2 linked regions of the Drosophila melanogaster genome follow. The protein of the gene in region 2 purifies or fractionates together with the protein of the main gene of each other region. This does not show direct contact. Each region holds a gene or a part of one and is shown on either strand. Other genes may lie near its edges.

What was found.
Region 1: the proteins of Rpt5 (region 2) and CG9588 purify together in Drosophila melanogaster (affinity purification with western blotting; 2 studies listed by BioGRID, with this or other methods). This does not show direct contact.

Annotation. Positions count from the first base shown.
Region 1 is NT_033777.3:13,672,740-13,679,979, forward strand, and holds CG9588 (uncharacterized protein), read right to left. Parts: upstream 3,943-7,240; 5' UTR 3,791-3,942; coding exon 3,689-3,790; intron 3,389-3,688; coding exon 3,062-3,388; intron 2,998-3,061; coding exon 2,764-2,997; 3' UTR 2,353-2,763; downstream 1-2,352. Other genes in the region: Lkb1 kinase, read left to right, coding at 4,371-5,473, 5,540-5,734, 5,796-5,953, 6,011-6,258; omd (oocyte maintenance defects), read right to left, coding at 6,992-7,240. UniProt on the Drosophila melanogaster protein: Acts as a chaperone during the assembly of the 26S proteasome, specifically of the base subcomplex of the PA700/19S regulatory complex (RC).
Region 2 is NT_033777.3:23,750,661-23,755,123, reverse strand, and holds Rpt5 (regulatory particle triple-A ATPase 5), read right to left. Parts: upstream 2,249-4,463; 5' UTR 2,111-2,248; coding exon 1,901-2,110; intron 1,837-1,900; coding exon 1,416-1,836; intron 1,359-1,415; coding exon 703-1,358; 3' UTR 501-702; downstream 1-500. Other genes in the region: Hrd3 (HMG-coA reductase degradation 3), read left to right, coding at 1-318; RanBP3 (Ran binding protein 3), read left to right, coding at 2,405-2,420, 2,549-3,882.

The sequences.
Region 1 (7,240 bases), about 10 Mb from region 2:
GTGGTGATGGTGCTGGTGCTCCTGCTGATGGCGGGCGCCATCGCGCTGCACTTGTAGTTTCTGCCGCCGTGTCCTTCCTGCGTGAAATGACTCGAATTAGGGTCTTTCTTTTTATGGCCGGGCTAAAAATAACGACTGCAACTAATCTGTCATCATCAATACCACGCTACCACTACACTGGGTTGCTCCTATGGAGCTTCGCCTATCATCCCAGTGTTGTCTATAAAAGGTAGTGATTTTGCAATATGAGGGATCAATAATGTTATATCTAAGGATTTTCAATGAAACTCCCACAAAAAGATGTGGTATTAATATCTTTTTCTTGCTTTCTCATATGTCATAGCATACTTTTAAGCACCTTTTCAAAGAAACTTCGAAACTAAATGTTTTCTGTGGAAAATAGCATACTTTAAGGCACATATTTCAAGGATATGATGTTCTGCAGCATTGAAACTCCACAAATGGCTCTTCAATGTGTACATTTAACTGCCGAAGGACTTCTGATCCTTTTCGACGCGTAAAGGATCAACTTGAACTTCATTGTTGTGCCACCATGATGACCGGCGCTGTGTGTACTTTTCATCTCAGCTAACACACACACATACGCACACACACACACACACTGGCCCACCACACAAACATGCAAATGAATTTTTCATTTGCATGTGTCCTTCGCCCAATGAGCGTAAGGACTTGTGGACACACTGGCACAACTGGCACTTTTTGGCAACGTGTGAGGCTGCGAAATCTCAGCTGTAATTGTTGAATAATTCAGTTAGCACGCGGGATAATGAGACGCCGAAAACTGAAAATGAAAGCTCCTCCTTGAAGTTCTCTTCGAGTGTAAGTGTGTGTGGCCATCTAACGCCAATTTATTGATGAACAATGAGGCAGCATTGCAGTGTCTCTGAATTATTCAAGTGTGTGTGTGTGTGAATGTGTCCCTGTGTTTGTGTGTGTGTGTGTGTGTGTGTGTGGGGCTCGAAGCGCGTTGAAGTGTACGCACGCACACAAGCGCAGCGCAGACACAGGCTTTTTTTAATTCATCGAGAGTAGCAGCCGAAATGTTTGGTCCTTCGGTGCGGATTGTGGGGGTTGGTTTTCCTTTGCCCCACAGCGACGCACAGACACACACACCACACACACACACACACACAGGAAAAGGATGCCCGCCCTTAGTTAACTTTTTTGTTAGTTTCCCCGCTGCTGCCTGTTTGTTGTGCTATTTCGCGCAGCTTTCGTAGCCCCAACCACCAAGCAGATTCCCTCACAATTCCCATGCACTGGCAATGACAGTGACACTATCCTGCCACTCCAGTTCGCGAAAAAAAAGATGAAAAGAAGGACGAGAGCTGGCTGGGTCCACGCATTGGAAGTGTTTCATTATATAAAGCCCGCACACATACACATCCTTTCCGCCGCACAGGACGAACGCGAACGGCTCGCAATTTTCATCGGTCGCGTTGTTGGCAGCAGGCAGATCCTTTCAATCGCTCACGTTAATTGCACAGAAATTCAGCGGCGCCCCACGATTTTTTCACTAGCGTAATTTGACGGCGATTGGGCCGCACTTTCGTCCTGTCGCCACTCGGATTCGGATTCGAAATCGCATCCGTAATGCTCTCGATTCGGATTCGACGGCTGCGGCAGCTTTGCTCCGGCGCACAAAACAAGCAAACTGGTGCGGGGATAATTTTTGTATATTTTGGCAAGCAATTGGAATTGTTATTCGCCAGTCGCTTTGCTTCAACAATTTCACTGCATTTGTAATTATCCTTTTTTTTATCGTGGCAATCGGATGCTGCGGCGCGGGTGAAAAAAGTTTTAAACTTTTACGCTGCGTGTTGCTTAAATAGATTTTCGGGCGAAAGCTCGTCCTGCCAAATTCGCTCTCTTCGCGGAAAATCTCTCTCACTGTTAAGCTAACATGTGTCCTAACCGGTTAAGCGAATTCTGTTACGGAATTTGGTTCGAGTCTGGGCTGCAGACTGTTGCATTTAATTTAAAAAAAACCTGATATAAAAAACGAAACAAATAAAATGACTTTGCCATCTCATAAAAACTATTATTCCAATTGATTAACAATACACTCTTTCAATTAAATTGCTCACGTCAGATATATAAATAATTTTATCTTAAGAAGGAGTACAGTTTTAAAGCCATTGTGCCCTGACTAAGCGCTTGAGCATTGGTTGAAAACTTGGCTAGTACCTGGATGTTCAAAAACAGAACTTTTAAAATCGAACATTTCTTTAGAATTTGTTTCTCTGTTAAATTGAAATGTTCATAAGAAGAATAAACCATAGTCTTCTGCAAAAACGTTTATGCTTTTAGATAATAATTTCCAAATTTGTTTTTTATATTTTTAATTATATATCCTTCTTTATTTACCAGTAAAAGCGCTATAAAAACTTATTTGTTAGTAAAACCGCCTCATCATTTTGTTACGCATCATTTCATATTGAATGAAAATTAAATGCAAAAAAAATCGGTCATGTCGACAGAATCCACCGAATCACAATATCATCCTTTTGCCTGTCACCTGTGCACCTTGGGTCACTCCACTGCTGCTCCTTGGCCCACTGACCCGGCTGTCAGTCAGCGAGATGACTCCAGCTGAAATTGCCCTGAAATCGCGTCCAAAAATCAATTTTCACAATTTGGAGCAACCATGTTCGTCGGCCTGGCAGAGATGGGCTGATAACTAAAGTGCAGGGCAGGAGTGCACAGGCAACTCGAAAAAAGCTTAAACACAAAGCTACATCAGTGATCCATCGCCTCGGGCGGCAGGACGATGTTGCAGCCCAGGAGACCGCGTCCACTCCACGTTTTCGGCACCAGGATGAGGTCCAACTGCTGCTCGCCGCGCTTCACTTTCAGCTGGACATTCTGGCTCTGCATGTTGCGCACCAGCTCGCCAATCTGGGCGAGATCTCCCTTGAAGTTGCCGCTATTGATGGAGCCAAAGCGGAGGATGGCATCGCCGGCACAGAGACCCTTAAATGGTAAAGATGGCCCATCTCAATGCTGTGATCTTCGCTTGTTTACTACATTCACTCACAGCTCTTTCGGCGGGCGAATCGGGACTGACCAGATTGACCACCACGATGGCGCGTGCAGGAGCAAGATCCGTGATATTAGCGCCACCGGGTGAACGGTCGCTGTCCAGGTCCAAAGCGGAGGCGCGGTTCACCAGCTCCGGATCTGTGGTGGCAATCTCGCTGTGATATTGGTTGAGCAGCGTCTGGATCTGGTTCATCAGCTCCTTGTGGTCGTTCTGCAGGCAGATGATCGTCTGTCGCGCCAGGCGCACCTGGTAAACGTCGATGTCGTTGCGCGGAAAACCCTCGGCGTCCACCAGTGGTCCACTCATGCCCACATTGTCGTTCTGGAAGGAAGATATCATTATCAATGCTATACAGCATAAACAAAAGAATGTACTCAAAATACAATTGTGTATATACCCTACACCAAAGCATAGGATAATGCTGTAATGCTTGCCCAAGTGGACATACCCTAACCAACAGTAGGGTATTGAATATATCAACATTTGGCTTGGCGGTCCGTCCAAGTTGAAGAACCTGCGATCATGAATATCCACGGTGGTGCGTCACCAACAGCTTGCCACAGTGTGCATACCCTATCCCGGATGCAGGGTATCCCCGGATGAGCAAGCGAATTTACTTACGGCGGCCAGGATCTGTCCGTTTCTGTTGATCTGCGCCTCCAGCTGCTTTTTAGCGTTAATCAGACGCTCCAGGCGCTCCTTGGTCGTCGTCCCAGCGGCCATGACTTCCACTTCGATTCGAGTTATTCCAGCGTTCGTCCCGAAAAATACAAATTTATTATTTTTCGTTAATGTTTTTTTTTTTCAGCAGCGACAGTAGCAACAACAACCAGTGCTCGTGCAGCCCTGGTTGCCCGCGACCAGTGTGACCGTATTGCGGCGAACTTACTTTGGCCAAAAACTAATTGTTAAACAATTTTTCGGAAGGGGAAAAGAACAAATTGAACGGCGAGAGTAAACACAGGAATTCACAAATTTCTATGAGAAACAGATCGCACGACGGTGAAACGAAAGGGGGGAACGCCTTTCCAGCGGACATCGCAGAATAGACGACGGGCGACGAGGGACCTCGAAAAATCGCACGGCAATCAATTCGAGTGTGTGCGAATTGATTACAAAAATAAAGGTATTTCGAGAGGTGAGCGATAAAAGCGCGTGTGTGCCTGGTGAGGATTAGGTGTAGCCATGAACTAACCAAACGTTTTGCAGCCACAGGCAACACAGGGACCACACCGTCCACTCCCATCCGCCGGAGTGGGGCTGCCACCTGCGATATGTGATCATTGGGGCTCCGCGGAGGTTTATGCAATGTTCTAGCTCTCGGCCAGTCGGAGGTAAAGCAGCCGGTGGAGCAGAAGCAGGAGGGGCAGGAGCAACAGGCCAGATGACTGTGACCACCATGGAGGCACAGGTCAAGGCAGCACACCATCATCATCTACATCATCCCACGGGCGGAGGGGCCCAGCACAAGGTGGAGGAGGAGGAGCCGGATCCTGTTGAGGACGAGATGACCGTACTGCTGGCCAATAAGAACTTTCACTATGACGTCGCCTCCGATCTGGACGACGACGCTTTTGTGGAGCTCAAAGAAGACACCGCCCAAGCGGATGATGCGGGCGCGGGCGTTGGCTTCTACAATCCGGATGAACTGCTGCTCGATGACCAGCCACATCCGCAAGTCACGTGGCTGGACGACGACGAGATCGAGACGCTCGATCGCGTGACGCTGGACATGGGTAATATGTTCTTCAATCGCGTCGACAGCCAGGACATCATCTATCAGCAGAAAAAGAAGAGCATTAAGATGGTGGGCAAGTACATAATGGGCGATGTTCTCGGCGAGGGATCGTACGGCAAGGTGAAGGAGGCCATGAACTCGGAGAACCTGTGCCGCCTGGCCGTCAAGATCCTGACTAAGCGGAAGTTGCGCCGGATTCCCAACGGCGAACAGAACGTAACGCGCGAGATCGCCTTGCTGAAGCAGCTGAAGCATCGACATGTCGTGGAGCTGGTCGATGTTTTGTACAACGAGGAGAAGCAGAAAATGTACTTGGTCATGGAGTACTGTGTCGGCGGGCTGCAGGAGATGATTGACTATCAGCCAGACAAGCGGATGCCGCTGTTTCAGGCGCACGGTTACTTCAAACAGCTAGTCGACGGCCTGGAGTACTTGCACAGCTGCCGGGTCATCCACAAGGATATCAAGCCAGGCAACCTGCTGCTCTCCCTGGATCAAACGCTGAAGATATCCGACTTCGGTGTGGCGGAGCAACTGGATCTGTTCGCACCTGACGACACATGCACGACGGGCCAAGGTTCTCCGGCCTTCCAGCCACCGGAGATTGCCAACGGACACGAGACGTTCGCCGGCTTCAAGGTGGACATCTGGTCCAGCGGAGTGACTCTGTAAGCCTTCCTTGTATAATATCATGTATTAAATGTATATACTGTACTAATCTAACGGATTTGCAGCTACAATTTGGCCACTGGACAGTATCCCTTCGAGGGCGACAATATCTACCGACTGCTGGAGAACATCGGGCGAGGTCAGTGGGAGGCGCCCGCGTGGCTATACGAAATGGACGCGGACTTTGCCAACCTGATTCTCGGCATGCTTCAGGCTGATCCCAGTAAACGCCTCTCTCTGCAGGAAATACGCCACGACACGTAAGTAGGAATATTCCTTGATTGCACTTCATGATAACTGATTGTTATAATCTGCTTTTAGTTGGTTCCGATCCGCACCGGTTAAGACCGGCCCACCGATACCCATTCCCCCCCTGAAGGGTGACAAATACCGCAACTCCACGGTGATACCTTACTTGGAAGCTTACCACTACGGCACCCAGGAGGAGGATGTCTACTTTACAGAACACGACGTAAATCGTACGTACCAACATCAATCTAATGCCGAGTGAACTACTTTCATGGTTACCTTTACAGAGGAGCTCGCCCGCCAAGCGGCAGCTGCTGCCTCCGAAATTCGGGCCAAACAGTCGGCGGCAGCCCTAGCCGCCTGCCACACCTACGAACCGCCCTCCACAAGTGCCGCAGCCGCCAGCAATTCGCTGGGCAACGGTAGCAGAGAGGAGGCGCCCGTCAAGAAGAAGGGATCGGCACTGAAGAGGCGCGCCAAGAAGCTGACGTCCTGCATCTCCGTGCGCAAGCTGAGCCACTGCCGAACTTCGTAGGCGCCTTAGATGCCTCCACTAAACATAGATGCTAAGATTTATCGAAAGGAATAACTTTGTTAACAAATTGTGAGCAACTTTTTGGTTTTGTTTTCCCGTTTTTATTCTGTTGTCCTACATTCGCCAAGTATTTGTAACCATAGAATCATGTAGGAAATTCAGGCGCAACCTCGTACCGCCCGAGCAGCAGGAGCAGCAGCGGTCGCATCAACAGCAGCAACAGCCCGCATCAGCGGAGTTGGCTGTGGAATTGGGGAGCTATGGGAGCGACACGAAAGCTATATATCCATGTGACAATACTGTGTATTATATGAAACAAATGAATGCGTAAATTAGTCGTTAATATATTATGATGTACTGAAGGCAGCCGAGGATTGCCGGAGGAGACGGTGCCCATTGGTGCGTCGCACACATAAAGAAATATGTTCAAGTGAAATTGTTTGTTGGCTTCGTTATATTCTAAACTACACACGACGAATGATGCGATTTTCAGGCGCCGTCGGTACAATAACTGCTGGACAGTATTTGCAAGGCCTAGGTTGAGATTTTAATTTTTACAAACCAATGAAACGAAAATAAAAGAACCCATTGAATATCAAAATACAAACACTGCATTTAGTTCGCACATTTCGCACATTCCAAATTCCACACTCAACACTCGCAGACGCTCCATTATTCCATGCACACACGCTCATGCTCACACTACAACATTAGGCTAGCTAACTACGTTTGCTTAATCTATTTCAACGATCTGCAGCCGGGCCGTCGGATCTGGCTCTGAGTCGCCCTCCATCAGCTCGCCCATGATGAACATCTGATGGTAGTGGGGGCCCAGGGTGGACAGCTTACGCTGCATTAGGTGGCGCAACGGGTCCACATATTGCGGCGGCACCTTGGCCAGCTGTGTATTCGTGTTGCGCCAGTGCAGCCCGTTGTTGTCCACGTGAAACAGCGCCGGCGAGGGCACGTGATCTTTAAGATA
Region 2 (4,463 bases):
ATCATCATGTACATGAGGCGTCCATTTCAGCAGCCGGATCAGCCGGCACAGCAGCCAGCTGCAGATGACATTGCTGCTGCGCCAGTTAACTTGGCGCCGGTTGGAGCGGAAGCAGCACCTGTAGCCGCAGTGGTCGAAGGTGTGGGCGTCACACCACCTGCCGCCGCAGTTTCATCTCACGATGCTGTGGCCGCGTCCTCCTCTACGGAAACCTCATCAACCACTGCCACGTCCCTTGTCGATGCAGCGTCACAAGGGGGAAGTGGCACGACATCTGCGGCGCCGGATGGCGCTAACACACTCGATCCCACTGGTTAGTCTTAGTAACTTGGTAAATCATCCCTCTAGGTTAATTAGTGTGCGTGTAAATATTTATCATCTAATTTCGCCCGATGTAATATTTTTTATTAATTCTAAAACCGACCTTTTTAGATATTTAAAAAATATCGTACTCAGAATGTAAATGTTGTACTGATAAACCAATGAATCGCTCGACATTTGATATATATTTTTGTTTATTTTAAAAAGGTTGGGTATTGATTTCAGTACGTCTCCCATTCTAGTTACTTTTAAGAGCCGTTGCGATGTTATTTTAAAGGCGATCTTCAAGGGGCAACTCAGATCGAAACTGAAAAATTTTACATTTCCATGGTTTATTTTAATGGGAGCTGACAATGTGAAGTTAAACTGCAAATTTTTAGTCTAAGCGTAGTAGTTAAGATTAGCCTTCTTCTTCGCCTGCACTTCCATGATGGCGTCCATGAAGTCTTCGTGCGTAACCGAATTGGCGGAGCGACGCAGTGCGATCATACCAGCTTCCACACAGACGGCTTTGCACTGGGCGCCGTTGAAGTCATCCGTGGATCGGGACAATTCCTCGAAATTCACATCATTGCTAACGTTCATTTTACGCGAGTGAATCTGCATAATACGGGCACGGGCTTCCTCGTTGGGATGTGGGAACTCGATCTTACGATCCAGACGACCAGAGCGCAGCAGAGCAGGATCCAGAATGTCTACGCGATTGGTGGCCGCAATCACCTTAATATCTGCAGTGGAACTGAAGCCATCGAGCTGATTAAGAAGCTCCAACATAGTTCGCTGGACCTCACGGTCACCGGCCTTCTCCGAATCGAAACGCTTGGTGCCAATGGCGTCCAACTCGTCAATGAAGATAATGGCAGGCGCCTTCTCCTTGGCCAAGGCGAAGGCATCGCGCACCAGCTTGGCACCATCACCGATGAACATTTGCACCAACTGGGGACCTGCCAGCTTGAGGAAGGTGGACTTTGTCTGAGCGGCGCAGGCACGGGCCAGCAATGTTTTGCCAGTTCCAGGGGGGCCGTACAAAAGGACACCTGTAAATGGCAAGGATTAATATGGTTGTGTGACATTTGTTCGAGTGAGATACCCACCTTTGGGTGGGTGAATGCCAAGGTTTTTGAACTTCTCCTTGTGCGTCATGGGCAGCACCACTGCCTCGATGAGCTCCTGTATCTGCTTGTCCAAACCTCCAATGTCGGAGTACTGCTCTGTAGGTCGCTCGTCCACTTCCATGGCTTTTACGCGGGCATCATACTCTGCCGGCAGGGTTTCCAGGATCAAATAGGAGTCTTTGTTGACTCCGACCAGATCACCTGGCTTCAGTTTCTCGGCATCAACCAGGCCGATGACGGGCAGGAAATACGCCTGTCGAGTGGATGTTTTGATGACGGCGCACTTGCCCTTTCGCTGGTTGTCCAGAACGGTGACGGAGCCGTCGTCCTCCTCCTCCTGTGGATCCACATCCAGCAGCTCTATTACATTGGACACCAGGTAGGGCAGTGTCTTGTTGACCTAATGGGGAAGTACTTAACAAATGAGGCTATTTGGCAGGGTGGCGTTTCATTGTCATCCCTACCTTGATCTTTTCGGTGTTGTCCTTGATCTTCTCATTTTGCGCCTGAATCTCGTGCGTTATGCGTATCACTTCGCTCTTCATGATCTTGATCTCGTTGTCCATCAGGCGAGTCCTGCTCACAATTTCATCGGTGGACATACGCATCACCTCCTCGCCCAGGGACTCCTCCCCGTCCTCCCAGATTGACTTATCCTCCAGAGTCTGAGCCATGTCTAATACGATTGTTGATTAGCCGTTGCTGAATGTAATTCTTTGTTAAAATGCTATTATTGCCGATCTTTTTGGGCAAACACTCTGTCGATGACTTGTAAATTTCTTGTTTTTCAGCGGCAAGTAAGCAACACTGAAAAAGTCAGTGTTGACAACAGAGCGCCATCGCCGGCGCTTATCGATAGTGACAGCGATAACACAGCGATAACAATACGGCAGGCTTTACACAGAACGCTCTATTCTGTAAAAGATTTGGCAATTTATATTTTAAAATTGCAAGTAGACTAGTTTGCAATGTCTGAAAATAATGGTAAGCGTAGCAAAACAAGCTGTAATGCTTGCTATAACTTAAAGTTGCCAAATATCGCGAATCTTGTGCCCTTGAAGAGTTCGCAACAAACTGACAAACGAGTCTTGTTTTTTCCCCCTTGTTTCCAGAAGCGTCAGTCGAAACTAACTGTTTCCGAGGTGGCTTCACCTTGAAGGCTTCTCGCCTGGGCGGTGCTGTCCTGCGCCCAGCAGTCTTGGCAAACAGCAGCGGCTCCAACAATAGTTCCACATCCCCAAGTGCAGGTGAAGACAGCGCCCTGCTGAATAATCCGTTTCTGCGCGAGTCCAAGGACGACGACGATGACGAGGAGGTGGTGGCCACCGGATCTGCGGCAGCCGAGTCCACTGGCGACAAGGAGGACGACGATGTCGACGAGCGGCCGGATCCGCTGACCAAGCTGCGTAGCAATGGCATTGAGCGCTCCAGCATGTTTGCAGCAGCCAAGAACAACATGCCAAATGTTCAGTCCAGCGGGTTCGTCTTCGGCCAGAATGTGCATGAACGTGTGGTGGCCCCCAATGCTGAACAGGTCACCGCTGAGCCGGATGCAGATACGGCAGCCAGCTCGGTATCAGCCCAGGAGGCTGCCTCCTCCTCCACCGCTGCTACGTCGTCCTCGGCGCCATTGCTCTTCTCAAGCGTCATTCAGAACGCTGCCCAGACCACAGAGACCAGCGAGGCCGCTGCCTCCTCATCCATTTGCAGCAGCAGCAGCAACAACAAGGAGTCCGCCGAGGCCAAGAGCCTGACGGATGTGGCCCGGGAGTATGAGGAGAGCCGCGCTCAGAAACGCAAATACGAGGAGGTCGAGACCTTCACCGGCGAGGAGGACGAGATCAACATTATCGACGTGAGCTGCAAGCTATTCGCCTTTCTTAACAGCAACTGGGAGGAGCGTGGTCGCGGCAGTCTGCGCTTAAACGACGCCAAGGACTTAAGGGGCGACTCGCGCGTGGTGTTCCGCACTTCTGGCAATCTGCGCCTGCTTCTCAACACCAAAGTCTGGGCCGCCATGGTGGCGGAGCGAGCCAGCCAAAAGTCCCTACGACTAACGGCCATCGACAACTCTGGCGTTGTCAAGATCTTCCTGGCCATGGGCCGACCGGCGGACATTGCCCAGCTACACAAGGCGCTCAGCGAACGGATTGCCAAGCGCAAGGTCTCACATCCCGAGGAGTGTTCCGTAGAGGAAGCGAAAAACGGCGTCGCCTCTGAGGCAGCGGCTAGCTTGCAACCGGAGTCGACGACTCACGACGACGAGGATGAGGATGCTGCTCCCGGACCGTCTGGTGCCATTTCAGCAGAGGCAGACAGCTACGGCCCGAGTCCCAAGAAGGTGATCGTCCAGCCCGATAGCAGCGCCGATGTCCCTGTGCCGCCCGTTGAGGAGGGCGACGAGGATGCTGAGGCCGAGGCCAAGGAGTCAACCGATCAGAATTAACCGCCGCTCGCTCTTGTTCTTTTTATACGATTCATACATGGAGAAATAAAACACTCACAACAAACACTAATTAATAAAGCGCGCCGTGAATTATTATAAATTAATTATAATAATTTATTAATAATTATTATTATTAAAAATAAAATAAATGAAGTGCTGATTTGTAAACCCGTGAGCAGCGTCGACAAAAGACATTTATCCATTACGCTTTGTGTTTATAATTTTTTGTTAAAAATGAAAACCGAAATTAAGATATCGATATCGATCGTACACGCTCTAATTAAAAGTTTTAATTTAATCACTATACAAACCCTATGTACTACTTTTCGCTTAGGAAATAATTTTTACAAGTTCAGCGCTTGCACTAGTCCTGGTCATAGCTCCACTGACTGGCATCTGGTGTGGATTCCAGCGGATCATCACTCAGTATTCAGTTATGTATTGGTAGAAAAAAATAGCGTTACGACGAAAAGTACAATCTAAGTGGAAGTAGCAGCAGGAGTGGATATCGAATATCAACCCATCCTATGCCCTCAGCATTGGCTTGGAGCGATTTGCCGATGTGGAGGACGCTGGCTGTA